3 linked regions of the Macaca mulatta genome follow. The protein of the gene in region 3 purifies or fractionates together with the protein of the main gene of each other region. This does not show direct contact. Links are inferred from orthologs where the notes say so. Each region holds a gene or a part of one and is shown on either strand. Other genes may lie near its edges.

Region 1 (9,915 bases), on a different chromosome or scaffold from region 3:
CATAGACATGCAGGCCATGCAGTGAGGGCACTGGCACCTCCCCCTTCGCTCTGTGCAAGTGCTTAACAAGTTATAGGCAAGTTCAGATCAGGTCCTGTGCAGCCAAATGACATACAGCCCTTCCACAAGGGCCCCAAAGACGAGTTTACCTTCAGTTGCACTGGAGGGAAGTCTGAAGACATCTACACAACAGCCTCAACTGCCAAGCCTCTCTGCCACAGCCAGAGATGTGGCCCTAGATGTGTACCCAGGTGGGCACAGAGCACCGAGACTCAGTCCACATGACACTGAAGCACAGACAAGACAGAGTGCAGTTTTTAAAAGGAGGATTTATTTGACAAGTTTCACTTAGCGCAATATACCTAAAAGGAAATCACAATACAATGAAAGATTTAAATCAAGGCCTCAGAATTTCATACAAACACCAAGACCAAAATCCTAAAGTACTGGTATTGCGTCTCAAAATTTTCCCATTAACTTAAAAAAAAAAAGAAAAAAAGCTTAAACTTACGTGCCTTACAGGTTATTAAATGAAACTAGAATTAACGAACATGCCAAAATGTTTCACTTTTAATTGTAGACATAGCTCCTATATTGAGTTTTACAAAAAAATAAAAGCATGTCTTTCAACATGCATCCAAACAGTGTTCAATGTAACGTGGCAAAGGGCAACATTTAACATAATTCAACTGCTTTTACCTAAATACGCTTACTGCTTAAGTACATCCTATAACTAACTTGAGAAAAGCTGGAACTTAAGTTTAACAGTTATAGTTTACTCAGCTTCACTGTTACATCCTAGATTGAGTATTGTATTCAAAAATACTGGGCCTTAAGTCTTCATAACAATCCTGATTTCCACTTAGAGTAAGCATAAATCACAAGCTTGTATTGCAGAAACTGTTAAACTGAAGTTTTTTTTTCTTAAAAAAAAAAAAAAAAAAAAAAAGGTTGACCAAGAGTCAGTGATCAGGACAGATCAATTACATTCCCCATCCACCACTCATACTGGACATGCTAGACATCCCTCCCATTCCGTTCACGCCCATAGATGCACGGCTTCCACTACTGTAGTAGCTGCTGTTCATTGCTCCTTGGTTACCTGCAAAGAGATCAATTTGACAAGTTAGGAGTAATGTCAGACTACCAGTCAAATAAAATATAGTATTCCAAGAAAAAGTTTAAAAAGTATACGAGTACAAATGGCTGCTGTCCAAGTGGCGAGACGCATGTTTGGGAAAGGGGAATCCCGACTCCAAACAAGCCTCAATTAACCCCTTTTCTCTGCAGTACCAACTTGCCAGACTCTTGTGCTACCATTTTAACGGATTCTTCAGGATCAACATGAAAAATTAAGTTTAAAGGAAAACTAGTGTTTTTCAAAAATTGCAAAATTACTTCGTATTTTTAAAGCTAAACAAGGCATTTTTTAAAAAAATTTACCATAAACATTCACAATGTGTCCCTCGAATGGCATTTGAGAAAAGGGAGCACAGGGGAAGTCTCTTGCTTTTCCTATTCACGGTGGGCAGGAAGTGAGACAACCAAGGTGGACTAAAGGCAACTCACTGTGCCCAAATGGCAGCCTCCATGGAGTTAAGTCAGAGCCATTGACTGCTATAGAAAGTATTATTACAACATATCAGTATTTGCTATTGGGAATTTAAATTATATTTTTTGAGAAAATATTTACCTATGCAATGTTTGATTGAAAATCACTGGAGTTTTCCTGTAAAACTTGGTCTGCAAAAGGATTTTGTAGGGTAAGACTATAATACCAAAATCACCATTCTTTAGACCAATTGAAAAAAAATAAATAAAACCAATCCTAGGTTAACTAATAAATACGGTCCTGAACCCAACCACCATTCTACTATTCCAAATTCTCCCTCCATCTAAAATTGATGTACTGCTAACCAAAAGATAAAAAAGCGAACAACTTTATTTAATGTTTTAATAAATGGAGGCAGATATTTTCTGGCTCGACAGTATTCCAAAGTTGCAATGACTAGTTTTTTATTCACAGAACACTTCCCCCTCCCAATGATTGTTTCTGAAAATTAAGCTAGTAAAAAGTTACATTTGGATTGAAAGCATACATTTAATAACCCAATTTCACCAAAAAGGAGCCTGCACCTTCCCAACTAAAGAAACCTGCCTAAAACTTAATTCTAAGTATATTTAAAAAAACAGGCTTACCGTATCCACTCATGCTGCTCTGGCCACCATAGCCGCCTCCGTAACCTCCACTCAGCTGCTGGCTGGCTGGGCCACCGTAACTGGACTGGTTTGCTGTTAAGTTAAGAAAACTTTAGAACCTTGTTCCTTACATAATGTGGTACCTGGTGGTACCGGGCTTGTAATTCTATATCTATATTTTCCAGTCTTGATCTTATATTACTATAACCCTCTGCCTCCTTCTGCCTACTGTCTATAACCGGGCTACCCTTCTATCCATCATTTGAGCTACTCAAATATTTATAAACCAAAGTGCTAACGGTATATACATCAGCAGGACTAAAACCCACAAGATTCCCTAAGTAGAGGCATTTTGTGAAGATCTTATGAAACTGCCTGACTAGATTTAGTGGGGTTCCCCCTTAGATATATCAAAGGCACGTCAATACACCTAATTATGCCCACATTTATCTTAATCCTATTTTGCTATTTAAACTTTATACTCAGAAAATTTAAGTAGTTTCACTCCGTAGTCCCCTCCCCCAAGAGTACTTAAATCTAATTTGAATTATCTATCCTAAGGAACTTCATAACAAAGATTTAAGTAAGCCAGATACAAAATTCAAATATCAAGAAACTGCTTTCTTTGCCTAAGTTTGTTATGCTAAACTTATTAAATAGATTAACAACTTATAATTGACTTATACAGATATAAACGTTTTGGTTTTTAAAAAAACTAACGATATTTACACAAGCCCATGCCTCCCATCATTTGGCTACCATAAGCACCACCGCTTGCTCCTGCTGTAGAATTCAAGAAGAGTTCTACATATCTGTGTTCTGAAATGAGAGAAAAGGCATACAAGGTTAGCTTAAAAAAAAGACACTAAAGTGATATTTACACAAACCCATGCCTCCTAGCATTTGGCTACCGTAAGCACCACCGCTTGCTCCTGCTGTAGAATTCAAGAAGAGTTCTACATATCTGTGTTCTGAAATGAGAAAAAAAAAGTTTGAAAATGTTTGTTGGTGAAACACAACAGGATAAGCACTTTTATAAAGTTTTTAAACGAGCAGATCTGTGAACTTCAAATACCTTGGCAAAGAAAATTCTAGCTACTTCTCTTAGGTGATCTACTTTAACTCTAATATCTAGCCTTTACATATTCATCTATGTTGTCAATTAAGGATATAAACTTCAAGATGTGCGTATCACAAATCCGTTAGACTAATTTTTAAAACCCAAACCTTCTTCAACCCACTGCCCCCCATCCCCCAAGAATTAATCTATTACTGGAGAGGAAACTTCTCATATATCCTTATTTTTCCATTTCTCTATTGTAAATGTTAGTCACACAATCACCTGTTAAGAGCCCACAAACGCTCAATCACACTTACGCATATTTGCTTTGTCTTTTGACATAGCTGCCACGGCATCTTCATGAGTTGCAAACTCGACATCTGCTTCACCAGTTACTCTGCCATCAGGACCAATTTCAATGTGTACTCTCACAGGATTGAGTGGTGAAAAAAACTACAACACAAGGCATTTCAAAGAATTAAATCAACTTTCTAATGTTACAAAATAAAACTACAATTTCTAACACAGTGCTCACATTTATAGAGTAAGGCTCAGACTTTTACTGCCATACTGAAATAAGACTTGTGAGTTCATCCTACACTTACATTATAAATGTCATTCTCAGTAGCTCTGTAAGGTAATCCACGCATGTGTACACAGTGTCCTGTTGTGCTCTGGAAAGTAGAGCCACCATCCCCGTATCTGTGATCAGACATTCCTGAAAAACAGTAATTGAGGTCTAGATGGACAAGAGTGTAAGCATCCTTCAACTGAGAAATTCAATTCTTACCTTACCTCTTCCAAATCTATCTGACCCAAATCCATAGCCATCATTATAGCCATTGTAATCGTCATAGCCTCCATAGCCTGAAAGACAAAGTACAATCCATCAAACAAAACACCTAAACAAAGGAACAGACTACTTGCCAAACCCTGGGAATCCTCACGTACCTCCACCGTAAGCACCGCGCCTCATCCTCTCAAAGCCAGCTCCTCTGCCAATGCTGTTATACCCTCTGCCAGCCCCAGGTCTGTCATAGGGACCTGGCCGCTGCATGGCCATAAGCTTTCGTGGTGGATCATAATGAGTTCTAACTTCAGCTCTACTGCTCTTAAAGATCTCAATATACCTAAAGCATCGTTCATAAGGAAGGGGTAGGGAGGGGAGAGACAACATTAGTTCATTTTATACAGGTATTTAGTTACACAAGAAATACAATCTAGTCATAGCCATGAAACTGACTAATATTTAAAGCCAGATTTCTTATATTTGCATAGGCAATGACCAGAAATTCACTCAATAAATAGTAAGACAATGTAAACTTTACAGAAAAAAAACACTCACTCCTCCTGAGGCAGAGCCCAACCTTAGGGGTAGAGAGGAGTACTGTAAATAAACGTTCTAGGAGGGAAATAATTCCACTCAACTTTCAACATTTCAAGTCTTAAATCCATTGGCAGCATGTATAGCAAGTGGGCTAAAAAGCCAGCCTCCACCAACAGTCTAGCCCACACTACACATTTCCTTTCGCCAATAAATACCCCAGCCTATGCTTTTAGTAAGAATCAGCATAGGTAAGCGCATGCTTCAATGAAAAATAGTCACAAGCAAAGAGAATAAAACCTTTTGTGACAATTTCTTGAAAGCTATGCTTATTAATACTATGCAGAATATTTATATACAGCAAGAAAAAGTTTGTTGCATTTCAACTTTAAAAACAAGATCAGAAAGTATCACATTTTCTTATGGTAATATTAATTTACTCTAGGTGGGTGTTATTACAGCTAAAGCCAGGTTTGCATTAATTTTTTAAAGCCATAGTCTCTCAACTCTATTGATTGGGGTTAATAAGACTCACAAAATTGTCAAGTAGACCAATTAACTAGGGACAAATTTTAAACCTAAAATTTAGTTTGCGTGTAACATGGGACTGACACAAGAAAAGTTTGGAAATCATGGCAAAACATCAATTACCTAGGACTACAAAACATTAATTTCTTCTTTTAAGCAGAGAGAATATGGATTTAATTGTTTACCATAAGAAAAGTGACATATCCAACCAACCATCCATCCCCACCTGTGCCCTATTCTTTCCTTGTGTTTCTTTAGAGCCTTTTCAGCTATTTCCTGTGAAGCAAACTGCACGAAGGCCTCCCCCGTACTCCTCCCCTGGAAGTCCACCGGCAATGTTATCCCATTTGGCACGATTTCCAACCCTTCAACCCAAGGACAAATAACCCCAGTAGGGGGGCAATATTAACATCACAAGCCCAGAAATGATTCTTCTTATAGCTTTAAATAAACCAGAACTTTTAACTTTAGGTGAATGGTATGCTTTCAACAAGTACTCTTTAAATATGCATTGCAATAATATGAAGTTCCATTATTACGAAGTATAACTATTCTTAACACACCCATGGTACAGTATAAATTAAAAAAAAAAAAAACTTGCTGAACGCAGGATGCATTAAGAATTCAACAACTTAAGAACACATATCTATGCAACTTAATGTTGAGAATTATACAAGAATTCAATTAAGTTTTAAGCATTAAATAACAGTTTTACTAAATTCAAAACACCTTTTACCTCATTTTATATTTCAATGCTTTAAGTTATTGGAACTTCGTCTTTAAAAAGGTATACATTTAAACATTTCATATAAAAACTAAAACATTAAATTATAATTGACAAACATAACAATCTAAACTTTCAACAAAACTGATCTACACAGCACAATCATGCATGCTTATGCTCTAACAGTAGTTATGATTCACTTCTGGAAATTCCGTCTATGAAAAATCCTTTCCGTGGATACATTCCCAAGCTTACAAAAAGGACTTAAAGCACTTTCCTAGAAGATATGAAATTATGTTCATATTTAACGTTGACAGATAGCATTCAATTCTCACCAATTTAGAGTAAAAACAAAACAAGACTTGATTTTTAAAATTCTGACATTAGGACTTGATACATATATAAATTTTTAACATACTACACTAAACCATGAAAGGATTTCTTGCTTCCAGTGTATCACATCATAAATATTACTATTTAAAATATACGATATCTAACATTGTTAAACATGCAATCTTATCAGCTCTTCAGCATAAAAACATTCAAATACTTTAGGCCCAGGAACAATTTCAAAACACTTTGTTATTTCAGATACTGAGACTACAAGCATTCAAACTACTCTCACTACATCTGATTTTCAGTAAGTTTATATCACACTGGTTAAACCAAGTCTTTCATAAATCGACTTCTGCATTAAAGAGAATTAGACCATTCTGGTCACATGACCCAAATGTGTCTCTTGCAACAACACAGACACTTGCCATAATTTACAACAACCTAATTCGTCACACTAATCTGATGTTAAGGGATCTTACCTTTAACGTGAAGTACTTAGCTGGACACCAATGTGAGGAAAAGCAGTTAAGCTGTTGAGGGCAATCCTCAATGAAAGATCTACTCTGAACTATAATACTAAATATAGGCAAAGTTAACATTTTGGAAGTACTTCATTTCCACCTTTAAGATGGGCTTAAATTATTTGAAGGTCTCTAGGAAGAAAACATTAATTCATTGGCAATTTACACAACCTATTGAAATACCTAAGCTACTCAACTTTAAGGTCTATTAAATCACCTTGCAGAAGCTAGCCAAAACTCACTGCTCATCAACAAACAGGACTACATACCTGAGAAGAACTGAACAATTTCTTCCTTGCTACATCCAAAGGGAAGTCCTCTAAGCCGTACAAAGCCATCATTGGCCGTGTCAGGACTATTTGGACCAGTATGCTTCAACACCCAATCCATTTCAACGTTGTTTGACTTGAATACTGAAAGAGGTGCTTAGAATTAGTCACTTTTGGAAAATTAGGTAACAAAGTTCAGACTTCCTGGGTCTTTAGATAAGCTAGGAAGAGCTGCCACAAACTCCCTTAGATGACCATTTCCATGCAGTCAAATACCTAAAATTCAGAAGGGGTAAGACCTCTATTGTTTAATGCTTTATTTACTGTAACTAGGGCAATGTAAATCAAACCTTCAACATATCTGTGTCCCATAGTTTCTCTGTCTTTTTTCAGGGCCAATTTGACTTCATCTTCTGATTCAAGTTCAACAAAAGCCTCGCCACTTGGTCTGCCTTCTCTGGTGTAGATGAAACGAATACCTTGAGCCCCATTTTGAATTTTGCAGTCTGGAAAGAAAACAACCGTTAATACGGAATTTAAAACCTAAAACCACCTCTGGGTGACACAGATTAAATGTCTATTCCGTGTCCCCACTACAAATTACGTAACTTGTGAAGCCTGCATATAATGATGGTATTACCAACTCCTGGAACTCCAATAAAAAAAAAAAAACCTCATTCCCAAGGTGATGTATTTCCAACCCATCAACAACATACAATATTCAAAGCAGTTTCAGAATGAATTTCTCTCTTAAGTCCCTGCTACTTATGTCCACATCACACATCTTTTATCAATTTCTCAGAACATTATCAAGCCTGGACTTTGTGACTTTATGGCAAACCTACTTCGTTGCGAGTTGCTTTGGTCTGGTCTGGCGCGTTTGTCAAGTTTTACCTTACCAGCAGCCACATTACGGTTTCTCATTCAAATCCAAATTACAGGCCCAATACTCACCTGAAAGGGGATCAGTGTTACCAAGCTAAAATGCTCCAAGTTGCACAGCTGAAGCCAAACCCAGCGTTGCCCCCTGCAAGGTGGCTTCCAGTGTACTTGGTTCTTGTTTTACAGGTCGTTTTCCGTTACCAATGCTAAATTCAGATAGTAAGTCAACACTACAAACGTCTTGCCAAAAGCTGTCAATTTCATACAAGTAGAATTTTATCAGTCTAATTTTTCCCAGTCTAATAATGGGAACAAGGACATTCTGATAGAAAATATTCAGGAAACCTAGGGACTGCAAAAACACTTCCCTGGGTTTCAGTGTTTTCAATTGTATAGTCAGCCAAATTAAGAACTAGATGAGCACACACTCTTCAATTACCAAATCTTGATTAGGAAAACTGAAATTAAGACGTGACATTTTAACTTTCCGAAGAATGCTCCTTTTCAAGGAAACACCAGAACTGGAAACAAGAGATTACACTTCAAGATACTGAAAAACATTACTATTATTGGTCTAATTACTCGGCAATTTTCTCGAGATTGAGGAGGAAACCCACCTATGCCAATTCATCTTTTCGCAAAAAGACACCGGAGCCAGGCGCGGTGGCTCACGCCTGTAATCCCAGCATTTTGGGAAACCGAGATGGGCTGATCACTTGAGGTCCAGAGGTTCGAGACCAGCCTGGCCAAAATGGTGAAACCCCGTCTCTACTAAAAAAACAAAAATTAGCCGGGCGTGGTGGTGCGCGCCTCTAGTCCCAGCTCCTCGGGAGACTGAGGCAGGAGACTCGCTTGAACCCAGGAGGCGGGGGCTGCAGTGAGCCGAGATCGCGCCACTGCACTCCAGCCTGGGTGACAGAGACTCCCAACACAAAGGAAAAAGAAAAACGACATCCATAAAAGAAAAGTTGGTGTTCAAAGGTAGTAAAGAAATCAAAGGGTCTGCCAGATCTGCCGCACTCCCCCCGCAGGGCCAGGAGGACGGGCGGGGCTTTCGAAAATTCCATTGCGTAACCGCGGCCGGCCGGGCGCGAGCCACACGGCGGTGAGTGCAGTCGCCCGCGCCTCGCCAGGGGGCGCCCCGGGTCCCGCCGCCCCGCCCCGCCCCAGCCCGGCTGCCCGCCAGCCCGCCCGCCCCGGCCTCGAACTCGAACTCCCGCGTCCTAGTTCTAACTCACCAGAAAAAAACCTCTGCACTTCATCGGCCGAGCAAGACCACGGCAAGCCCCGGACCTTCACCACGAATCCCTCTCCGCCTTCGGTGCCCAACATCATCGTCTCTTACGCGGTCCGGCGTCGAAACAAACTGCAAGGCGGGGAGGACCAGACCTGAGAGCGCCAATTAAGCTGTCCTCCGCCTCCGAGGCGCCCCCGGGCCCGCACCGGCCCCCCCACCAAGCAAAAACCGGGGGGATGCACCCACCCCGGCGGCTCCAATACCCAACACCTCCTCGTCCGGCGGCCGGACCCCCAAAAGCTGTTCTGAGCAGCAACCGTCGGCGCCCCGAACCGTGGGGGCCCGGGCCGAGCCAGCGTGGAGGAAAGGAAATGGCGGCGGCCGCTTCCGCTCCGCCTCCTCCGACTTCTCACACAATAGAGTCGGCGCGGCCTGCAGGCCTCAGCTGCGGTGCCGACATTCAGCGAACCACTCGCGGCTCTCGATGGCAGCCCGCAGCTCGCCAAGGTCCCCGTGGCCCTCCCAGAGGTATGAGGACAACCAATCCTCGCAAAAACGGCGCCCACGGTGGTCGGTGAACTGCAAGCGAGGACCCACCGAGACTCACCCAGAAACCCGACTTCTGCGTGGCTAAGACGAAATGGCCAGCGGGCGCCTGCGCAACCTAAATAAGGCCCTTTGTGCGAGTTCTGCGCACGCGCAGCCAGCTGCCCGCACCGCCCCGTTGCGTCACAAAGAGCTCTGGCGCATGCGTAGTTTCAAGAGCCAGCCCACCGTCCGCCGGCGGATTATTACACGCTTGGGATTTGGGCGCAGCACCCCCACCCATAAACCC
Region 2 (10,645 bases), on a different chromosome or scaffold from region 3:
AAATCAAAATGGGTTTTACAAATTAAAAACAGTGAAACAATACAAATATAAAATTACAATATTACTAAACTTTGACTAATACTAGAGGTACCTTGAAAGAACTGAACTATTTCCTCTTTGCTGCAACCAAATGGTAGTCCACGAAGTCGTACTGTCCCATCACTAGCGTCATTTGGACCATTATGTTTCATAACCCAATCCATCTCAATACCGTTTGATTTAAATGCTATAAAAAATAAACAAGCACATAGAGCAGTCAATCAAAACATACTCTTGTCAAGAGGTAATGAAGAAACACCTCTCAGAGGTGCCACAAGAGGAAATGTAACATGGCGCCAACTCCCGTGACAATGCCATGACAAAACTGTAGACCACCTTTCATATTTTGGGGTAGGGAAAAAGCAATGAGACCTGAGCCCTCCTACGGAAAAGTACTGAATTTCTTAGTATCAATATTATGTATTGCCTAATTTTAAGAAAACTTGCATAATGCTACTACCAGAGTCTTCAAACTATTTGACTGTGTCCCCTGAATGCCAACTCTAGCCTTTCCTTATCTCTCAACTTTTGATTCACCACTTTTCAGGTTTTTATTCACCTGATTATTCAAATTCTTTAAAACTTATTCAGAAGTTGCATATAATACCAATATCCACTAACATCAAAAACCTAAGTAAAAAATGCAATGAGTACTGACTCATGTTGGAAAAACATCACATAAGTCTAACCCTTTTAAATGCACTACAATTTTGAACACATCAAACTGTCTTTGAAGGGCCAACACTCTCACCTCTATTTTAGCCAAATCTAGTTTAAACTCACCAAGAGTAAGATTATAAAATGACTGAATTAGATTAAAACTGAGGTCAAAGGCTGCTCAAAAGTGAATGCCTTCCAACAGTACCTGTGTTTTTGAAGCCACTGGACAGTGTATAGAAACCAGTTTACTCAGCTTTTTAATCAAATAGATTTAAACACAAACTTTAAAAAATACATAATATACTTTTTAATAAAGCATAAAAGGTACATCTAGAAGCCCCCCTTCCCCTCCTAAATGACTTCAGTTCCCAGTTCCCTTCCCCAGAGGCAACCATCCTTCCGTTTAAAATTACATAGTATTTACAAAAGAGGCGAATGCAGAAGTCCTTCAGCTGCAGAAACTTACCAGAACCTTACAAATTTCACTATGCAGCTGTAGGAATCCTACTCACCTGAGTATTTCAAACCTTTCCCTCACCACCTCCTCCCCTGTAAACAAAACAATTTGTTCATTTGATTCCTTTATGTTTGAAGATCATATTTCGTATCAACAGCATTCACTAATGCTTAATTTCATGTCATCTATTTGTTGGTGCAACTCTTAGGGGTGGCATCTGCAAAGGGTAAAGTTTTTTTTTCCTAGAATTCATGCATTTAAAATATGCACACAAATAAATAGTATGAATCCCTATTCTGCCGTTCACTGGTTACCTAAACCACTTAACCTCTGAGCCTCTTCAATTGTAAACTATAGCAGTGGTATCTATACCTCACTGCACTCTTCAAGTGCTTGGTCTGCCTCATGTTAAGCATTTACTGATGGCAACTGTTACTGGATTTTAAGGGGCCCTGCAAAAGCCAACAAGATATACCATACACAAAATATGTGAACCTTAAAGGACAGAAAACAATTCAAACCTCGAAGAGAACTGAGAATTGTTAAAAATTTTATTTCCCAAAGCCAGCGAAGGCTTTTAAAAGTTTAATACTGAAGAGTAGCTCTGAGAGGAGGAGGCCCCAACCCAGTTTGAAAAAAAAAAGTTCAGAGATGTTTTGAAAACGCCTAGCGTTTTATTTTTTTTAAATAGCACAAACCTAAAAAATAAGTGTTTCCCATAAAGGGGGATTTACACATAACGGAAAAAGTGGTACAGATCTACCCTCACTGGTTCATGAAAAATTTAAGAACTCTGCAAATTCAACCTTAATCTGTTGTGAAAGGATCTTAGTAGTTTGCATTTAAGGAGCAAATGCTTAAAAAAAAAAAAAAAAGAAAAAAAGAAAAAATTACTTTACTCATAAATCTTACCAATTCACAAGAAAAAAATACCAGCAAGCCAATTGGATTTTTGGATCGGTCTGTACCAATTATAAGACCCAATGAAAACAAAAAAGTGTTATCGATGTTATCTATAATAAACACTAAACTGTTAACACAACTTTTAATCGCGTAAAACCCAACCAAATTCAAATTCGGAACACTTAATCTATTTTACAGGGTGACCCTGTATGCAAAGCACATACAATAATGAGAGCCTCACTCTACCAACCCCTTCAAAACTAAAAATCCTACCTACAAAACAAAAACAAGAAAAACTCTAAGGGCACAGGAAGAAGCAATCTGCTCTAATAAAGCTGTCAGAAACTACTTAAAACACTTTACTAATTATTCAGGATAATCCACCTCAACCTTTCTTTGCAACAATGTCATGGCTAATCACTACTCTGCTTTAAGAATTCTAGGTGCTAGTAACAATAAAATATACCACAGTTAAAATATGAGGATGGCTTTGGTCAGTTTTATGAGACTTTAAATATGATTTTTTAAACATTACACCAAGTGAAACAAGCCAGTCACAAAAGACTACATATTGTGTAACTCCATTTGTATTCATGATTGTCTGAGGCTTGACGGGAGGGAGAATGCCAGCAAGGGGAATGACCAGTAAAGGGTACTGGTATCTTTTTGGAGTGACAAAAATGTTATAAAATTAAATTGTAGTGACGGTCACACAACGCTGTCAATGTACTAAAATCCACTAAAATGTACATTTAAAATTGGTGAAGTTTATGGTATGTGAATTATATACCGAAGTCATTAAAGAAAAAACATCTACTAGAGAACAAATGAAATAGTGAATCCTCTTAACACGGAGGCACAGCTTATCTTCTGAAGTAATGCATAAACGACTTTATGCATCAATAAATAACTTTCTAAATGGCAGCCCAGTGGTCAAGAAATGAGAATGAATTTTATTTTTTGGAAAAAGTGCTGATGATCTAAGTTTAACAGAAAATGTACATCATTCCTTCCCAATGGGCTTGCTCTTTAAAAAAACAAAAACACTAGACACGCCCCTAACAGCTTAAGGAGGTACGGTCTCTAAAATGTTAGTTTACTATGAACCATGTTTTTATCTACTGCAATTTAGTCAGTTGTTTACCAATACAACGAAATCAAAGATAACATTATTTTAAAAAGACAGTAAGATGGACTTCCAGATAATGGCACAACTGAAAAAGAGGACAGAAAAAAGGTGTGTGTGTGTAGTCCAATCCAATTAGTAAAGCTATTTGTTACAGCATATACAACTTTATAGGACAGTCTGGACTATCTTTTCAAAGGGCCACTCAAAGCTACTGTTTCAAGGTAAGATTTTCGTAAACTTTTCCTTGGCAATCTTGACAAAGCATCACTGAACATCTTCAACAATAGTAAGTTTTTGTTTTTAGAGCTGGAAAAGTAGGTAACAATATTCTTAAAAAGTTTTACATGAATTATCAGAAATTCTTACTCTCAGGCCTTTCCCGTCCCTTTTGCACTGTGTCTTCAATGAAAATTACGGATCCAGTTCTCAGGACCCTCATCCGAATCACACCACCACCACGTGACTGGGTTTACAATTTGTTTTTCTGTTTAATAGGCTTATTCCCTTGTTTAAAATACGATTACAGTGTATTATACTCCTACATTTAAAAAAAAAAAAGGCCTAGACACCAAAAGAAAATAAGCCATAACCGTATTTTGAAGTATTTTACTTCTAGAGCCTTAATGCCAAGAAAAAAAAAACTGCACAAAATACAACTCTTGGAAGATTTAATATCGAAAGGAACTCAATTCCCATACATACACATCTACCATCACTGGGTTGTTTTAACTGTTTCCCAAAAGTGAAACTTAAAAACAAAGTCTAATATAGATGCCAAACTACGCAAAACAATTGCTACATCACCCACCCCCACCCCCAAAGTTCAAAAAGCAACAATCACAGTTCACTGGGCCCAGACGACCTACTTGAAACATGCCCATTTCACATTCCTATTTGATAAATCACCCACTTTTCTGCTTACAAAATCACCCCCGAAGTCCTTATTAACGTTTAAACATGAAAAAAAAAAAAAAACCCTTTGGAAAATCAGTACGTACTCTTTTCGAAGTTCCAAATCTGGAATATAAGGGCCGGCTAAGCGTCCTTTATTCCTCCCAGGAGACTTTCCGTTTATCTAGCTGCCCTAGAGACCAGAGAGCTAGGGAGAGTACGCCCCTTCCCCCACCCCCCAGCAGCCAAGCCTGGCTTAAAACCCTTCGCCACCGGGCGGCGGAATTACAAAGGAGGCCGTCTGCCTCCTTTGTCCTGGATTTGAGAGTTGAGCACCTTCGTCGCCATTGGCTTTCCTCCCCCAGCTCCAGCCTCTCTCATCTTGGGAATCTGCGTCAGAAGTCACTCGCAGTCCCGTCAGCCCAGGTAGCCCTGCCGAGACTGCGGAGGAAGGGAGGCCACGGTGGGAGGCCAGGCCCATCCGGCGCCATTTCCATCGGGAGCGCGCCCGGCAACCCCGATCCTCCCTCCACCCAACTGCCCGGTCTTTCCCTGCTCGCTTCACTACCCACCCTCATCCCTTCCAGGGAGCTTTGACCACCCCCTCCCCTGGCCTTCTGAATCAGTTTTCGGAAGCTGGGAGACAAAAAGTAAAAAGAGCGGGGAAGGGCGGGAAGCCGAGGTGGCCGCGCCACTGTACCCAAAATGGCGGAGGCCAAGCCAGCAGGGAAAGGGGGAAATGCTGGATGTCCCCTACTTCGGGCCTCGGCGTCGTCCACTGAGTTCCACCTGAGCAAGTCCTCCCATCGGCAGGCTGCCCTCCTTGAAGTGGGAGATGATCCGGGAGGCGCAACCCCGCCGCTTCCAAGCGGCGGGCCTCCGAGCGGCGACCACCGCACTACCCCCCAACCCAGCCCCTCCCGGCCTCTTTCGTCCTTCTCCCGACTCCGCTCTCGAAACCACCAGCCCAACCTACCCCCTTTTACTTCAGATACCCTGTCAGGCGATAGTTACGCCGACTCTGCTGCTCGCGGGGTCCAGTCGAGAGAAGGGAGAAGTTGTTTGCCTCGTGTAGCGCTCACCACAACGGTTCTCCCAACCGTCTCCAGCGGTGACAACCGCTTAGGGAGCTGCGCAGCACAGCAACTGGCTTGGGGGGATGGGAGGGAGCGAGCAAGAAGTGGGGGGCGGAGCGAGAACTGCGAAGGCGGCCGGCCCCACTCTCGCGAGACGGGAAAGTCAGGTTCGCCTGGCGCTGGCAGCACGAAGCGCGCCTGCGCGGTGGTGGGCTGCCCAGCTGTTGGGGGCGAGGTAGACAGAGCAGAGGCTGGTCCAGGTAAAGAGCTGTGTGTGCAGTCTTTCTTGCTTACGGTAGAACCATCCAGTTTTCGGGGCATACCATTCTGCCGCCTCGGGGCGATGGCAATGAAAGTTCTGCCAGTGTGTAGAAGGAACTGTGCTGTCGCGGTCTGGAGAAGTTCTCCAGTGATCTGCCCCCACCGTGAACAAATTCCGTGAGGGCCCCGCCCTTGCTCGGCATCGACGGCGCGGAAAGGGCGCCACGTGGTTCGGCCGGCAGACGCGGGGCGGATTTTCTGGTCCACCATGTTTGCATTGTGCAATGAAAAATAGAAGTGTTTCTGGGCCGCGAAGATGAAAACGTCCACCGAGGCCGATTTCGGCTTTCGGGCTGGGTGTCCGCCTCCTTCTGGCCCGGAGCTGCTGGCCGTCCCCCAGCGCGCTTCGTCCCGGTGCGCCGCGCGGGACCCGGGTTTCTTGGGTGAATTCCTGTACACGTTTCCGTTCTCTCTGCAAATCCTTCCTCTCTTTCTCCTCTGGCCTTCGCATTTTCATCTCTCCCGCCGTCAGTGCCTCGGGGACTGATTAGCCTGTGGAGGCCGACGTTGGGTTGTTTTCTATAGTTTTGCGTTGTTGAAAATTGCGCTTCCAAGTGACACCTAATAAGTACATTTTGGTTTTGCAGTCATGCCACTAAGGTTCTTAATGACACATTATGGCCTTTTTTTTTAAGTTCCAAAAAAGGCCGGCCGCGGTGGCTCACGCCTTTGAGAGGCCGAGGCGGGAGGATCGCCTGAGCCTAAGTGTTGGAGACCAGCCTGGGCAACATAGTGAGGCGCTGTCTTTACAAAAAATACAAAGATTAGCTGGGCGTGATGGCAGCGCACGGGAGTAGATGGGACTCCCGAGTAGTCCCAGCTACTCGGGAGGCTGGGCAAGAGGATGGTTTGTGCCCTGGAGGTTGAGGCTGCAGTGAGTCGTGATTGCACCAGTGCGCTCCAGCCTGGGCGACCTTGTCTCAAAAACAACAACAACAAAAAAAACCCCGAATTTCTGCGCGAAGAGTTAAGGGGAAGCCTGGGAAAGAGATCAGTGCAAGTTCATCCTGGCTAACACGGTGAAATCCTATCTCTACTAAAAAAAAAAAAAAAAAGAAATTAGCCGAGCGTAGGTGGCTTGCCCCTGTAGTCTCAGCTACTCAGGAGGCTGAGGCAGGAGAATGGAGTGGACCCAGGAGGTGGAGCTTGTAGTGAGCCGAGATCGCACCACTGCACTCCAGCCTTGGTGACCGAGCGAGACTCCGTCCCACACCCTCCCACACACACAAAAAATCAGTGCAAGTTCCAGTGCAAGGCGTCAGGAAGATGGCATAATGTTAGAAATGTGGGTGAAGCTAGATTGTAGATAGTCTTCAATGTCTGGCCAAAAGACTTTGAACTTTGTGGTACAGACATTGGGAAGTCTGTTGGAGGTAGGGTGAGAGGTGTTAGCAACGTAGGAGGATGTATAATTTTTTCTCCCATGAGATCTGCGGTGTGTAGGATGTAAGACATTTTAAGGCTTTAATTCATCCTCAAACCTGCCTAAGACGAGTGTGGGGCAGTAAGAACATGGTGCTCACATACCCACAATGGCCCACTCCCTAAAAGTACTGAGTGGAAGGCAGAAAGGACAGTGTTATCACAATTAAAAGAGATGGAAAACCAAACAAGGATGCTGTGATAACAATGGCTCATATTTATTTTTCAGGGTTGTAAAGAGTCAGCAAATTGAGTATAGTGTGTAGCATAACCTACACACTGTACTCTTACAACCCTGAAAAATAAGTATCTTCATTTTATAGATGAAGTGCCTAAGTCCTAGAGAAGTGAAAATAGTTGCCCAAGGTCACACAGTTGAGTGGTAGAGCTAGAATTGGAGCCCATATGGTTTTACCCAAGGGCCAGGGTCTTAAAACACTATGAACCTTCGTGAGGTTACAAATATCTATAACTTAAGGAAACAGACATCGTTTTTGGAAAATTGAGGTTATGTCACCTAATTAACACTGGAGTTACCATTTCAGGAGACCTGTGGTTACTAGCTTATTGGCTGGAGACTTTTTGAACAGGCCTGAAACTTTATAGTCCCATTATCACTGACACTGTGAGTCCCAACCCCTCTCCGTCCTTTTAAAAAAATAATTGCTGTATTAATAAGACTCTAAGCTCCCACAATTCTGATGGAGTTCTTCCCTTGGTCCTCCTGGGTTCAAGTTACATGGCTATTTTTATCCTTTCGGTCTTTCAAACTGATTTGGTAGATGGAATTCTGTAATCTCCTTCACTCCTTGCTTGAATTCAATTTGTTTTACTGCCTGACTGAATTTGGCATTCCTGCCGCATATTTTGTGTGGTTATGGGTCACAATCTGAAAATCATTCTAATGACATGAATGATTTTTCACTACCAAACTGCTGCTTGCTTGCTTGCTTGCCATAATTTCTTTGGATTACGCACTCTTTGCCAATGTGCATGCTCAGTAAGGACTTGAAATTGGTTTACACGTTCCCTTTGCCTTTTTATTGTTACAGTAGGAAGTTTTGAGTTAAAAAATACACTATATAGGCTGGGTGTGGTGGCTCATGCCTGTAATCCCAGCACTTTGGGAGGCTGAGGCAGGTGGATCACGTGAGGTCAGGAGTTTGAGACCAACCTGACCAACATAGTGAAACTGTCTCTACTAAAACTACAAAAATTAGCTGGGCATGGTGGCACATGCCTATAATCTCAGCTACTTGGGAGACTGAGGCACAAGAATTGCTTGAACCTGGTGGGGCAGAGATTGCAGTGAGCCGAGATCGTGCCACTGCACTCCAGCCTGGGTGACAGAACGAGTCTCCGTCTCAAAACAAAAAACAAAATGCTACATAGGCATAAATGTACATTTTATTTGGCTTCCTACTTTACTACTTCTCTTAAAACAACAACAACAACAACAAAATCTTGTCAACTATTCCCATTTGCAAGTTGTATCCTGTAAATAAGGCTTGGTGAGACTGGCTCACCACTGCTCCAGTGATCCCTACAGAATTGTTTCCAGACCTATCTCTGTGGAATTGTTTCCATAGAGATGGTTAGAACCAAGGACTCCCAGCTGCTTTTGGGACTTTCTTTGTCTTCCTTTCCATCATTCCAGTGCTTTCCTGTTAGCACAGAGATCAGAGGGACCCTGGAGAGGATCTTGTTAGAGACCATAATGAGAGAAAAGATGAAAAAGGAAAAGGAAATAGAAGTACCCATGCGACCCAGAGGAAAACAAGACAACGAACACGTGATCATGTGTTACACTATCAGGTTGAAGAGGAGAGGAAAATTCCGTGCAGAGCCTGAGAGAAAAAAAAGAAAGAGAAATGGAAAGAGATTACACCCTTGGGGGGGAGGGAAGGCACATAAACGAAAATTTGGTTAAGATATTTGTTCACATATCCCCAATGGCATTGTAAAGTACCATAAAAACTGGATTATCATAATCTTTTGCCTATATGAAAAGCAAATAAGCTAAAAAATGTAACAAAATCCACTAAATCTCATCTAATTAAGGTAGTTAATACCTTTTAAACACTAAGTTTGTGTAAGACTGTGAAATGCTTATTCTTTGGTTTACATCCTATATCTATTGTCTTTAGAAAACACTCATCTCGGCCGGGCGCAGTGGCTCAAGCCTGTAATCCCAGCACTTTGGGAGGCCGAGACGGGCGGATCACAAGGTCAGGGGATCGAGACCAGCCTGGCTAATACGGTGAAACCCCGTCTCTACTAAAAAATACAAAAAACTAGCCGGGTGAGGTGGCGGGCGCCTGTAGTCCCAGCTACTCGGGAGGCTGAGGCAGGAGAATGGCGTAGACCCGGGAGGTGGAGCTTGCAGTGAGCTGAGATGCGGCCACTGCACTCCAGCCTGGGCGATAGAGCCAGACTCCGTCTCAAAAAAAAAAAAAAAAAAAAAAAAAAAAGAAAACACTGATCTCCTTTACTATGGTTCAACATTGTTTCTCAAGACAAGGCTGAATTACACAGTTTATATTCTTGATATTTTTTTGTTTCTCTGAGTCACCTAAGTGTTCTTTGTGAATCTGGCAACCAAAAGACCTATTCAATCTTAATAATTATACTAAGTAAACAAATGAAAACTCAAAAGGAAGAAAGCACCTAAACACATTTTTTCTCTAATTTTTGAAAATAAACATTCTTTTTGTTCCAGTGAATTGCTGTGAAGGCTAGGGAAAGCGGCTTAAAAAGATAGCTACTTAAATAATTGAAATCAAATTATTATACTGCTTTTCATATGTCATAAGCACATTAATAACTTCGAAAATACAGCATTGATAATACGGTAATAGACCATTTCCCCCAACATGATTTTTTTTTTTTTTTTGAGGTGGAATCTTGCTCTGTTGCCCAGGCTGGAGTACAGTGGCATGATCTCGGCTCCCTGCAACCTCCGCCTCCTGGGTTCAAGCAATTCTCCTGCCTCAGCCTCCTGAGTAGCTGGGATTACAAGCATGCGTGACCACGCCCAGCTAATATTTGTATGTTTAGTAGAGATGGGGTTTCACCATGTTGGTCAGGCTGGTCTTGAACTCTTGACCTCGTGATCCACCTGCCTCAGCCTCCCCAAAATGCTGGGATTACAGGCGTGAGCCAGAGCGCCCGGCCCCAACCAGATTTTAAGCTTCTTGGTGGTAGATAAAAATGTAGCTCTTGTTATTCATATACCTATGTTTTTCAGTCTACAGACAATAACGATGGTCACACTGGGGGCAGTAAGTAATTCATTTTCACTGCAGTCTTGCAAAGTTATTGTTTCATGGACCAAGAAATGAAAAAACCAGGAGATAAAGTAATGTTTCAAAGTTTACCAAAAAAGTAAATGGCAAAACTTAGACTTGACTTCGTAATCAGGGAGTCCCAGTTCTGACACTAGCTACCAGTGAATTGATTCTGAACCAGTTAACTTTTCTGAACCCCAGTTTTTTTTTTTTGTTTTTTGAGGTGGAGTCTTGCTCTGTTGCCAGTGGCGCGATCTCGGCTTACTGCAACTCTCGACTCCCTGGTTCAAGCGATTCTCTTGCCTCAGCCTCCCGAGTAGCTGGGATTACAGGCATGTGCCACCACACCCAGCTAATTTTTATAGTTTTGGTAGAGACAGGGTTTCACCACGTGGCCGGGATGGTCTCGATCTCTTGACCTCGTGATCTGCCCACCTCAGCTTCCCAAAGTGCTGGGATT
Region 3 (9,915 bases):
ATGTGTACTATAATGTATACATAAAATTTTATGTCCAATTTTTCAAAATGAAGTTTCTCAGATGCTATTTCTGCCGTTACAGTGTAGAGTATCACATAAATATCTTGGGCTAGAGAAACGCAGTTTATATATACCGTTGGATTTTTGTAATAAAAGTTTTTTTCCCAAGACCTGTTATTTTGCCAGAAATGCTTCTAGATAAAATTATTGCCCCATTCAATGACTCATGGTGTTCAATGATCATTTGTTTAGTCTGCTGACGAGCTGCTTTTTACAAGGGAGTATTTCAAATGTCTTAAGCTTTTGATAGTTATAATTTAAGAACACACGTAAAACATTTCAGTCCACAGTAGGAAATCCTACAGTACCAATTTACTTGTTTCAAAGTTGACTAAGTGCACTCGCACGAGTGCCTGCTTATCAGATAGCATTCTTCAAACCTCTAAAAGGAAAGGACAGCAGAGAGCAGAATTGGTAATCATGGTGAGTCTTGGCACTGCTGAAGTGCAGTGGCCCCCAAAGATCCAGCCTCGAACTCAAATCCACCTACCTCAGCCTCCCAAGCTGCTCAGATTATGCACCATGTCTGGCCTGAAGTTTAAGCTATAAAAAACCTTAAATACAGCACACAGATCAAGTAACTGCAAATGGAATATATTTATAGTAATGTCTGTACTGAACTTTGTCAGTTATTCCCCATACAATGCAGCATACTATTTACCAAGCTTCTATCTTGGATTAAATGAGAGTAACCTAGAGACAACTCAAGTGTATGAGACGTGCTTAGGTCATGTGCAAATACACGTTTCATACAAGAGGACTACAGCATATTTTGGTAGTGTAGGTTCCTGAAACTGATGTCCCCTCTCCCATACCAAGGGACTTTTAATTGGTGCATTAAGCAGCCAGCTTTACAAGATCTAATTGGCTATGGGTTGGCTTCCTGACACAACCCCGTCTCCATCTTAACATGCTGGATTCAAGACATATAAACGAACTGCTTTTCCGACAGTCCAGTTTTAAAGGTAGAAGGAATTCCACATTTGCTTTCCAGTGCAAACCAACTAGATTACAAAGTCAATGCCAAAAACCAAACCACCATTGCCTAGGACCCTCCACTTTACCTACCTAGTTGAGTAATCTTGATTACAGTATCTAACGTCTTAATCAGAATGAGGAAGATAGGGATAAAGACAACCCAAGTGGGTAGGATATCTTTTCCAATTAAAAGTCACTTGAGCATCTTCCGAAGTGTGATCAGATTTTAGGCCAATTGTATGGAAAAGGCAGGCTTCAGTTGAGCAGAGCTACAGAACCAGTATACAGGGTTTTTGTGGTAATACTAACTTCCCTAAATGCACTCAAGTGGCTAGATCCTTCTTTCCCCATCTCAGTTTTCGAACTATTTGTTCTCTGGTAAATCCATGCAACTCACTGGTTACCCCAATTCCCCTCCCAAACAAGCCAGTGTTAGTGCATTACTAAATAGTACAAATGTGAAAATTATGTAGGGCCTGTCAACCATCCCAGTACTTTAGTTCCAAACCTTAAAGATAGCAAATTTAAATAACATGCACTCCAGGTGACCTGATAGGTGTTTTCTACCTTTTGCACTTTTCAACCATCAGTGACAAACTGAGACTTGTTGCCTTACATTGTTAGCTCCCAATACCTAACATTTATTAGGTCAAGCAATTTGGCATCTACCGAATTGGGCTACAAGGAAAACCTTACACAGGGAAATCCGGTTTTACACTCATGCATAAACTGAATAAGGGCACACCCTTGAGTGTGACAGCCAGCATCTAAGATAGTTCCCAATGATCCTTGCCTGCTTGGTAATTTACCAGTGAATAGAACCCTCCCACCACATTCTGTGACCATAAAGGATGTAAGATGGCATGACTACTTTGTAGTGTGTTCATTTTACAGCTTTTCTTGCTCACTCACCGAGGGAAGATGACAACCAGCATTAACTTTTCAGCCCTGTTAGTATGCCACTCTGGATATATAAAAAAAAATTATCCAATCCTAGTTTTCTGTGATTGCAAACTGTGAGCTTTACCCAGAATCAGTTAAGTTGCTCCCAACTGCTGACCCATAGATACTGAAGTTTGTTTCTCTAAACTGCTCTAAAAGTAAGTTGTTACACAGCAACAATATAAAGCCCCGGACAAAAGGCAGCCTTTCTTTATTTTAGAGCACTGTCTCAAAGCTGCACAAGAACTACCTTAAACTTCAATTTCTCCAAGAAAAACAGATTCAACACTATACACACAGGAAATAAGCCTATGTTGAATATCCAACATTACACTATGTTTCAGTAAACTCTTCTTCCATCAGTTCATTTCAGTCTATTGTGTAATTTACCTAATTCTCCCCTATTTGTGTGATATTCCCTTGACCTTGCTAGATAGGAGTTGGTATTTTGAGGTTATGCATATCAACCTGATGTATTTCAAAGTTCAACGTCTTTGTACATCCAAACATTTTTAAAACTTCAAAATTTTCCTGAAGTTGGGATATTTGTACAAGTCTGTGATGAATTCAGCTATTTAAAACAGAAAAGTGCTTTCTATGTGTTACCCACTGTTAGTGTGACTTACCTGTTAGATCTCAAATTATCAAAACCAAAACAAATCATAGAAACAAATCAATTAACTTGGCCCTTATTTTTTGGTTTTCTTAATTCAGATAAATGTCCAAATAAACACATAAAAAGAAAAAAACACTGATATTCATTTACTCTGTGTGAAACACAATAAAACTAATTGACATGTGACAATCTAGTACATATTTTAAGCCCTCAGTGCTTTCGCAAAGCCAGTTAATCTAGACCACTCTGGCCGGTTCACCTTTAAAATCCATGATTTTCAAAATGCCACCAGTATTGCTGAACATACAAGGTAAAGCCAGAAACTTTAGTAGGAGTACTCAAACGCTGAATATACAGTGCATAATGAACAGCATTTTATTGGGGACAGTCAATAATGTCCACAATGCTCTTCTCATTTATCTGTTAATACTAAAAGAAAATATGCATAGCCCCAAACTGCTTTAAAAAATTTAGGGGATGGTGATCTTTTAGACAACCGAATGTTTATAGAACAAGATTCACACATTTTATGTGTAAACATTACACCAAGTATTTGGATACAAAAAATATTTATTTTATAAACTTTATATTTAAAATAGAATTGTAATCTGTCTACTCACAAAACCTAATTTAAAACATGATACATTTCTCTCTCTAGCCAATTTGATGTTAGTTTTACAAACAATACTCATTTTTTAAGTTTTATATCAAGAACCTGAACTAAATGTTTGTTTTATCAGAAAACATTTCCCTTTTATTTTAAAGAGTGCTTTTTAAATGAAGGCACCAACAAGAACTACTTTCAGATGGTACAGAATTTCTTATTTCTTGAAGACTCTGTGGTTGACCACTTCTTCATTAGTTACCTGCAGCAAGACACCTTCCTGCCAAAGGAAAAAAAAAGTATCTGAAGAAGTTTATCATGTTTGTCCAAAAGAACCTAAACAACTTCAGTGGTGGTCTTAGGATCAAAGAAGACTCACTGGTGCATATAGTAGAGTAAGCCCTGAGTATCACATTCCTGTAAAGGCAATAAAGCCGGGCAATCAAACTGATGGTATCTAAGGAATGAATTTCAACAGCCAAACTACAACTTTCTCTTCAGGGTAAGACACTGAACTAAAATAACCACATTTAACCCACCTACTTGGTACTGGATACATACAGGCTTCATAATGTAGACAGACACTTCACTCAAGTATGAACTACTATCTGAAAATAGATTCAACCATTTTTGCCCTACCTTCAGTCTCTTCCTGATAAGCATGTACAGTTACAACCATAAATACAACAAATGTCTTTAATAAAAACCCCTAGTTCACTCAAAATGTTTGATCCAAGAAATGTGAATACACAAGGGTGTAACGATGGGAAATCTCATGATTTATTGAACTTGCAGCCTAACTTTTACCTACCATTTTACTACCAACACCACTGAAGGAACCAAGAAAAGCTTTATTAATGATCACTTGGCTTGCCTCAGCTGTTGAAATGAAGCACTTTACAGTCTTTGTGGCAGCAGAATATACTTGTCCATGGTTCATATCAATGCTAAAATTCCAGCAGGGAAAAAAATGATATGTTAAGCACCCAAATCTTCACACGGAGGGGGAGGGGGTAGGAAAAGAAGGAAAAAAAGGGAAAAACAACCAAAATAATTTAAGTAAATGACAGATTGGAAAACAGGGTTTATAAAAATTATTCTCTTGAGTTTATAAATTGTTAAACTCAATTTATAGCTATGTTAAACTACGTAAGAACCACTATACTGAAAGACCATTTAAGAGTATTAGTTTATCTTTTAGGGAGGAAAATTAAGAAAGGAAAAGTAAATAAGATCTTACCTAAAGAAGTTTAACTGAAGCTTAGAACTATTTTGCTCTACACCCTCAGCTTTCGTTGGCATCCTTAAAAACTACTGTAGTTAAAGTTTTGTAGAAACAGCACAGTTTTTTAAGACTGGCTGAACTTAGTAGCCGTCAAGAGTTCTCTTGTACTAGACCTGTGTCCCTGAAGAGTACCTCGCTGGGGTTATTTCCTTTCCTTGCATTGAAGAAGCAGCATCTAAAAGATCTAAAAAGGTGTTTCTCCTTGCAGAGATATCCCTTAAGTTATCTACATAATTTAATCCTGATGAATTGCAGACAACACACTTATATCTGACCAGCATTTATCTTATACAAATATAACAACAGCTTTGCAACGGACCTTAATTATACTACCCACTCCTTAACTTATTTAAAATAAAAAGTCTATAATTACACAATTTCCTTTAGAATTATTTTATTAAATCATAAATGTACAACAGCTTCTTAACTCTACACACGCACTTAAATTTTTTAAAGGAAAAACGTTATGTCTTATTACACCATGATCCTGGCTAATAGCTTTTCAAAACTTTGAGAAAAATCTTAAAAAAGGTTTCACATGTCACCTGAAACTTACAAATTTAACATTATCAAAGAAGGAATGCTTCTACACTCTTACAAAGACCACTAGAAAGAAACAACAATTAAAAAGCTAAGAAACTGTCTCAAAGGCATTTTTTTTTTACAATCCTTCCTCCACAGTAAGGTAATGTTATTAAATAATCCAATCCATTCACAAAATGGCTCTCTGCATCTGCTCTGGTGTCTTCTGCCATATCACTGCATATTTATGCATGACTGAGATAAGAGTTTCCTTAACATTGTTATTTCGATAACCTGAAGCTGTTCTGTTACCTCTGGGCTCTCATCCTCTCCTATTTATACAGTGAAGCCTGTTTCAACAGAAGTAAAGAGTAAAAAAAAAATAGGTTATGAAATTATCCATCTAACCAGATTTTAAGGAAAGATAACATGATCCTAAAAAGCTTTTACTCCTGCAGCTATGTCTCCCAAGATAATAATAATTGTAAAACTCAAAAGCTACTTACCCATGGCAAATAGGAAGAAGCTCAGTATCGGCTCCTCCCACCATAACCCCCACTTCCTCCACTGCCTCCTGGACCATAGTTTCCTATAATTGTTGGAACAGCAAGAGAAAACAAACTTACTTTGATTTCCCATAATCACTATAACACTACAGCTGATTCTATTTTCTATCCATCCAGTCTTTAATAAAAACAAGCAGATCCTAACCCTTTGCAGCCAGTTAGCAGAATTACTTGGGAGATAAATTACTCAGGTTCATAGACATTTTTATTTCGTGGCTGATGCTATGCTATTCTTTTAAATAAAGGGTCCTCTCATCCTCATTTGGACTAAGGGATTTTTTTAAAGTACACCAAGACCAAGACACAGAAAATGTTTACTCCTGCTAAAAACCTCAAGAATAAGCTAAGCAATGGTTTGAATCATGGTTTAATAATTTAACTTCAAAGACCCTCATTCCAATTTACACCACTTGCAATGTGGGTTACAATTTTACTTAGCTGTTTACCAGCCCCCACCAGAAATTGAACTACTGAACTTCCCCACCTCCAACACCCCTAATCCCAATTTGATGTTGTAACTGCTTGCTGAGTACTTCTGTGGAGATTTATGCAAAATTTCTTTATTTTCACTAAGACCGTATATCCCACAACCCAAACTATTTAGTATGTTATTTTCCCTTTAAGTCACAAAAGGCTAATCCTTTAATCACAAACATCTGAAAAATCTCAATTGTTATAAATTACCTCCACCATATGGTCCCCCCATGTTCCTGCTACCACCAAAGTTTCCACTCTTCATTGGACCATAGTTAGAAGGTTGCTGGTTATAATTTCCAAAATCATTGTAATTTCCACTTCCATAATTTCCTATAAAAAAATTGGAACACTAGTATAATGGACCTCAGAACAATACATTAAACCAAAAGAACATTAAACCAGAAAAACATTAAACCAAAGACACATGCTAAGGATTTAGGACAAAGCTCCCACAAAAACAAAAGCAAACACTTTATCTAGTGACAAACATTGAAATAAAAGATCAAGTATTACAAAGCCATTAATTCCAAATTCCCACATAAAGGTTGCAGGTGAATTTATTACCTCCTCCATAGTTGTCATAACCACCTCCGTAGCCCCCACCCTGGTTGCCATATCCAGGTCCTCCACCACCATATCCTCCTCTTCCTCCTCCATAACCGGGGCTACCTCCAAAATTGCCACCTATTATAAAATAAGCCTTTAAGTAATCACTTAATATTTTCAATGCCATTTTGAACTGTCTCCTCACATCCATTTCCAAGTTTGCATGTGAAACATTCAATGAAATTCCTCTAAAACAGCTTGAAGGACTGAATACCTACCCTTGGTAAACATGTGGTGGCTAGAGTGCCTACCCAGCCAAATGGATAACACCATGTGTACCCACTTAAATACCTGTAACGCTACAGCTTTCCCTCAATACTAAAAATCTTAAGTTATCTTGAAATACTACATGTATATAGTGGGTAAGGTTGTGAGGCTAGACTAGCAGTGTGGGTTAGGGAGAAAGTAAAAGAGCACTTCCCCCTACTGGCCCAAAAGAAAGTTTCTATTATGTCTCCCTACGAATTACATCTTTTAAAACAATGTTCTCGGTCAGGCACGGGGGCTCCCGCCTGTAAACTTTGGGAGGCTGAGGTGGGTGGATCACAAGGTCAAGAGATAAGAAGACCATCTGGCTAACACGGTGAAACCCCATCTCCACTAAAAATACAAAAAATTAGCCGGTTGTAGTGGCAGGCGCCTGTAGTCCTAACTACTCAGGAGGCTGAGTCAGGAGAATGGAGTGAACCAGGGAGGCAAAGGTTGCAGTGAGCTGTTATTGCGCCACTGCACTCCAGCCTGGGCGACAGAGAGAGACTCTCTCTGAAACAAAACAAAACAATGTTGTTGGCCAGGCCCAGCAGCTCACATCTGTAATCCCAGCAGTAAGGGAAGTTGAGGCGGGTGGATTGCTTGAGCCCAGGAATTCAAGACCAGTCAGGGCGACATAGCAAAACCCCTACACCCCTACAAAAAAACACAAAATTAGCTGGTTAACAGTGGTGCACCCTGTAGCTCCAGCTACCCAGGAGGCTAAGGTGGGAGGATGGCTTGAGGCTAAGGGTGCAGTGAGCTAAGATCACACCACTGCACTCCAGTCTGAGCAACAAAGCCAGACCCCATCTCAAAGAAAAAAAAATAGGCGCAACACTCTACACAGTATGTTCTTTACTGTAAACAGAAGTAGGGACAAATGAAACACTTTCACATAATGCAAAACCTAAACAAAACAAAACATCCGGGCACAGTGGCTCACGCCTGTAATCCCAGCACTTTTGGAAGGCCAAGGTGGGCGGATCACGAGGTCAGGAGTTTAAGACCAGCCTGACCAACATGGAGAAACCCTGTCTCTACTAAATACCAAAATTAGGTGGGCGTGGTGGTGCACACCGGTAATCCCAGCTACTCAGGAGGCTGAGGCAGGAGAATCACTTGGACCGGGAAGGCAGAGGTTGTAGTGAGCAGACACACGCCACTACACTCCAGCCTGGGCAACAGAGCAAGGCTGTCTCAAAAAAACAAAAGCCACCTTATAAAAAGGGAAAAAAAAAAAAAAAAAAAGGCTTCTGTTGTGGGCTGAGTCTCAAATTACTTGTAGTTAAATACAAGAACTCAGCTTTCTCTAAAATTGGTAGAACTTAAGTCACACCTAATGAGTGGCAACACCAGAAATCAAGTCTATTACCAGCTCATAGTTTTAAATGTCCCTTCCTTATCACAAAATCTGTCTTGGGCACCAGCCTTTTCTGTACGCCAATAAAACTGATATATTTATTATATCACATTTCAGGTTCAATGGTAGTTCACAACCTTATCTGTAGCCAGGAGCACAGTGAACATTTTGGAAAATTTCCTTAGGTTACTTTTTGAAAGTTCTCCTGGGATGCTTACCATCTAGTTAAGGGTTTAGACATATTTTACATTTTTCTCCTACGTATTCTCCCCCCTTAGATTTTACTCAGTTAAATCCAGTCTTCTGCACTTTTCCAGAAAGCACAGTACAAAAACATATCTAGATCCAATTATTTTGCTTAAGATGGAATACTGTGATGATTATCTTTAAATTTTCATTTTAAATAGCACTGTATTCCTTAGGCTGTAACTACTAAGACGTCAAATTACTTATAAAAGAAATAACTGGACCACTATCACCTAAGCCCTTTATAAGGGGCAATATAAAATGTTTAAAAACTCAAAATATAAATGAACTAAATATACAATATGGTTAAGTATTAGTCACATAAACAAACCAAAATATAGAGGAAACTGACCTCCAGGCCCTCCTCCATACCCATTATAGCCATCCCCAAATCCACGTCCACTGCCATATCCATCTGTTAGGGAGCAAAAAAGATTACATTTACTATAAGCTGTTCACCATTATTACTAACACTCATTTTTTCAGTTCTCTTAATACCTCAGCACAATAATTAAGAACCTCAGAAAAGCACACGCTAGTGCTACTAGTTTATTCACAAAACATGAAAGCATATAATTAAATCTCATTACCACCTAAATTTTGAACTCTTAACTGAACAAGTCTCAATTTTAGAGATTCCATTTCATTTATACATAAGAATGACACTTCATGGGGCCAAAGCTTTTCTGATGACACTTCATTTTACATTATCAATCCAGATAAACATAACTTATTAACACAACCCTATTAAACTTCTTGTCTGGCCAAGTCACAGGAACTTGCCAGGATACTATCTATTTGAAGTCTTAGGGAAAGGTTTTGATTTACGTTGATTTCCTGATTCTACTAATGAAAACCTAATCATATTTAAAATAAAAGCACACTCATCCTTTAAACACATAGAATTTGAACTTACCAGATCCTCCTCTGAAGTTACTTCCTGGTCCTGGTCCGAAATTTCCACCGCCACCCCGCGAATCCCCGAAGCCGAAGTTGCCTACAATAAATGCCCCAGTTAGAAGCAAGCCCTTACATGAATAAAAATAAAGAAGAAACAGAATTGAAGAAACAGAATTGAAATTACCTCCTCTTCCACTCCTAGAACTCTGAACTTCTTGCATTTCTTGTCTAGACAAAGCCTTTCTTACTTCTGCATTATGACCATTGATGGTATGGTATTTCTGCACTGCAATGAAAAATTCAAACTCCTTTTAAATCAACAACATTAAACAACTTTAAAAGTTTACCTTTCAATAAAATTAGATGTTAACATACACAAAATTGAATACATGGTAAGAACAGTACATTTGTGGTTAGACACTTACATACGATTTTATCCACAGGATCATGGTCATCAAAAGTAACAAAGCCAAAGCCTCTTTTCTTTCCAGACTGTCTATC

The links.
Region 1: the proteins of HNRNPA2B1 (region 3) and HNRNPH1 purify together in Homo sapiens (affinity purification with mass spectrometry; 5 studies listed by BioGRID and IntAct, with this or other methods). This does not show direct contact. The link is inferred for Macaca mulatta from reciprocal best matches to the Homo sapiens genes HNRNPA2B1 and HNRNPH1.
Region 2: the proteins of HNRNPA2B1 (region 3) and HNRNPH3 fractionate together in Homo sapiens (co-fractionation; 3 studies listed by BioGRID and IntAct, with this or other methods). This does not show direct contact. The link is inferred for Macaca mulatta from reciprocal best matches to the Homo sapiens genes HNRNPA2B1 and HNRNPH3.

Annotation. Positions count from the first base shown.
Region 1 is NC_133411.1:188,574,385-188,584,299, forward strand, and holds the end of HNRNPH1 (heterogeneous nuclear ribonucleoprotein H), read right to left. Parts: intron 9,723-9,915; exon of another isoform or gene 9,327-9,722; intron 9,210-9,326; 5' UTR 9,179-9,209; coding exon 9,082-9,178; intron 7,468-9,081; coding exon 7,312-7,467; intron 7,106-7,311; coding exon 6,962-7,105; intron 5,477-6,961; coding exon 5,338-5,476; intron 4,390-5,337; coding exon 4,211-4,389; intron 4,127-4,210; coding exon 4,055-4,126; intron 3,999-4,054; coding exon 3,865-3,998; intron 3,713-3,864; coding exon 3,577-3,712; intron 3,171-3,576; coding exon 3,111-3,170; coding exon of another isoform or gene 3,081-3,110; intron 3,019-3,080; coding exon 2,929-3,018; intron 2,293-2,928; coding exon 2,200-2,292; intron 1,744-2,199; coding exon of another isoform or gene 1,694-1,743; intron 1,103-1,693; coding exon 984-1,102; 3' UTR 310-983; downstream 1-309. UniProt on the Homo sapiens protein: This protein is a component of the heterogeneous nuclear ribonucleoprotein (hnRNP) complexes which provide the substrate for the processing events that pre-mRNAs undergo before becoming functional, translatable mRNAs in the cytoplasm.
Region 2 is NC_133414.1:81,431,900-81,442,544, forward strand, and holds the start of HNRNPH3 (heterogeneous nuclear ribonucleoprotein H3), read right to left. Parts: upstream 5,241-10,645; 5' UTR 5,075-5,240; exon of another isoform or gene 4,187-5,074; intron 227-4,186; 5' UTR 204-226; coding exon 92-203; intron 1-91.
Region 3 is NC_133408.1:102,192,491-102,202,405, reverse strand, and holds the end of HNRNPA2B1 (heterogeneous nuclear ribonucleoproteins A2/B1), read right to left. Parts: coding exon 9,840-9,915; intron 9,701-9,839; coding exon 9,599-9,700; intron 9,512-9,598; coding exon 9,431-9,511; intron 8,930-9,430; coding exon 8,867-8,929; intron 6,735-8,866; coding exon 6,615-6,734; intron 6,381-6,614; coding exon 6,258-6,380; intron 5,597-6,257; coding exon 5,535-5,596; 3' UTR 5,514-5,534; intron 5,358-5,513; 3' UTR 2,988-5,357; downstream 1-2,987. UniProt on the Homo sapiens protein: Heterogeneous nuclear ribonucleoprotein (hnRNP) that associates with nascent pre-mRNAs, packaging them into hnRNP particles.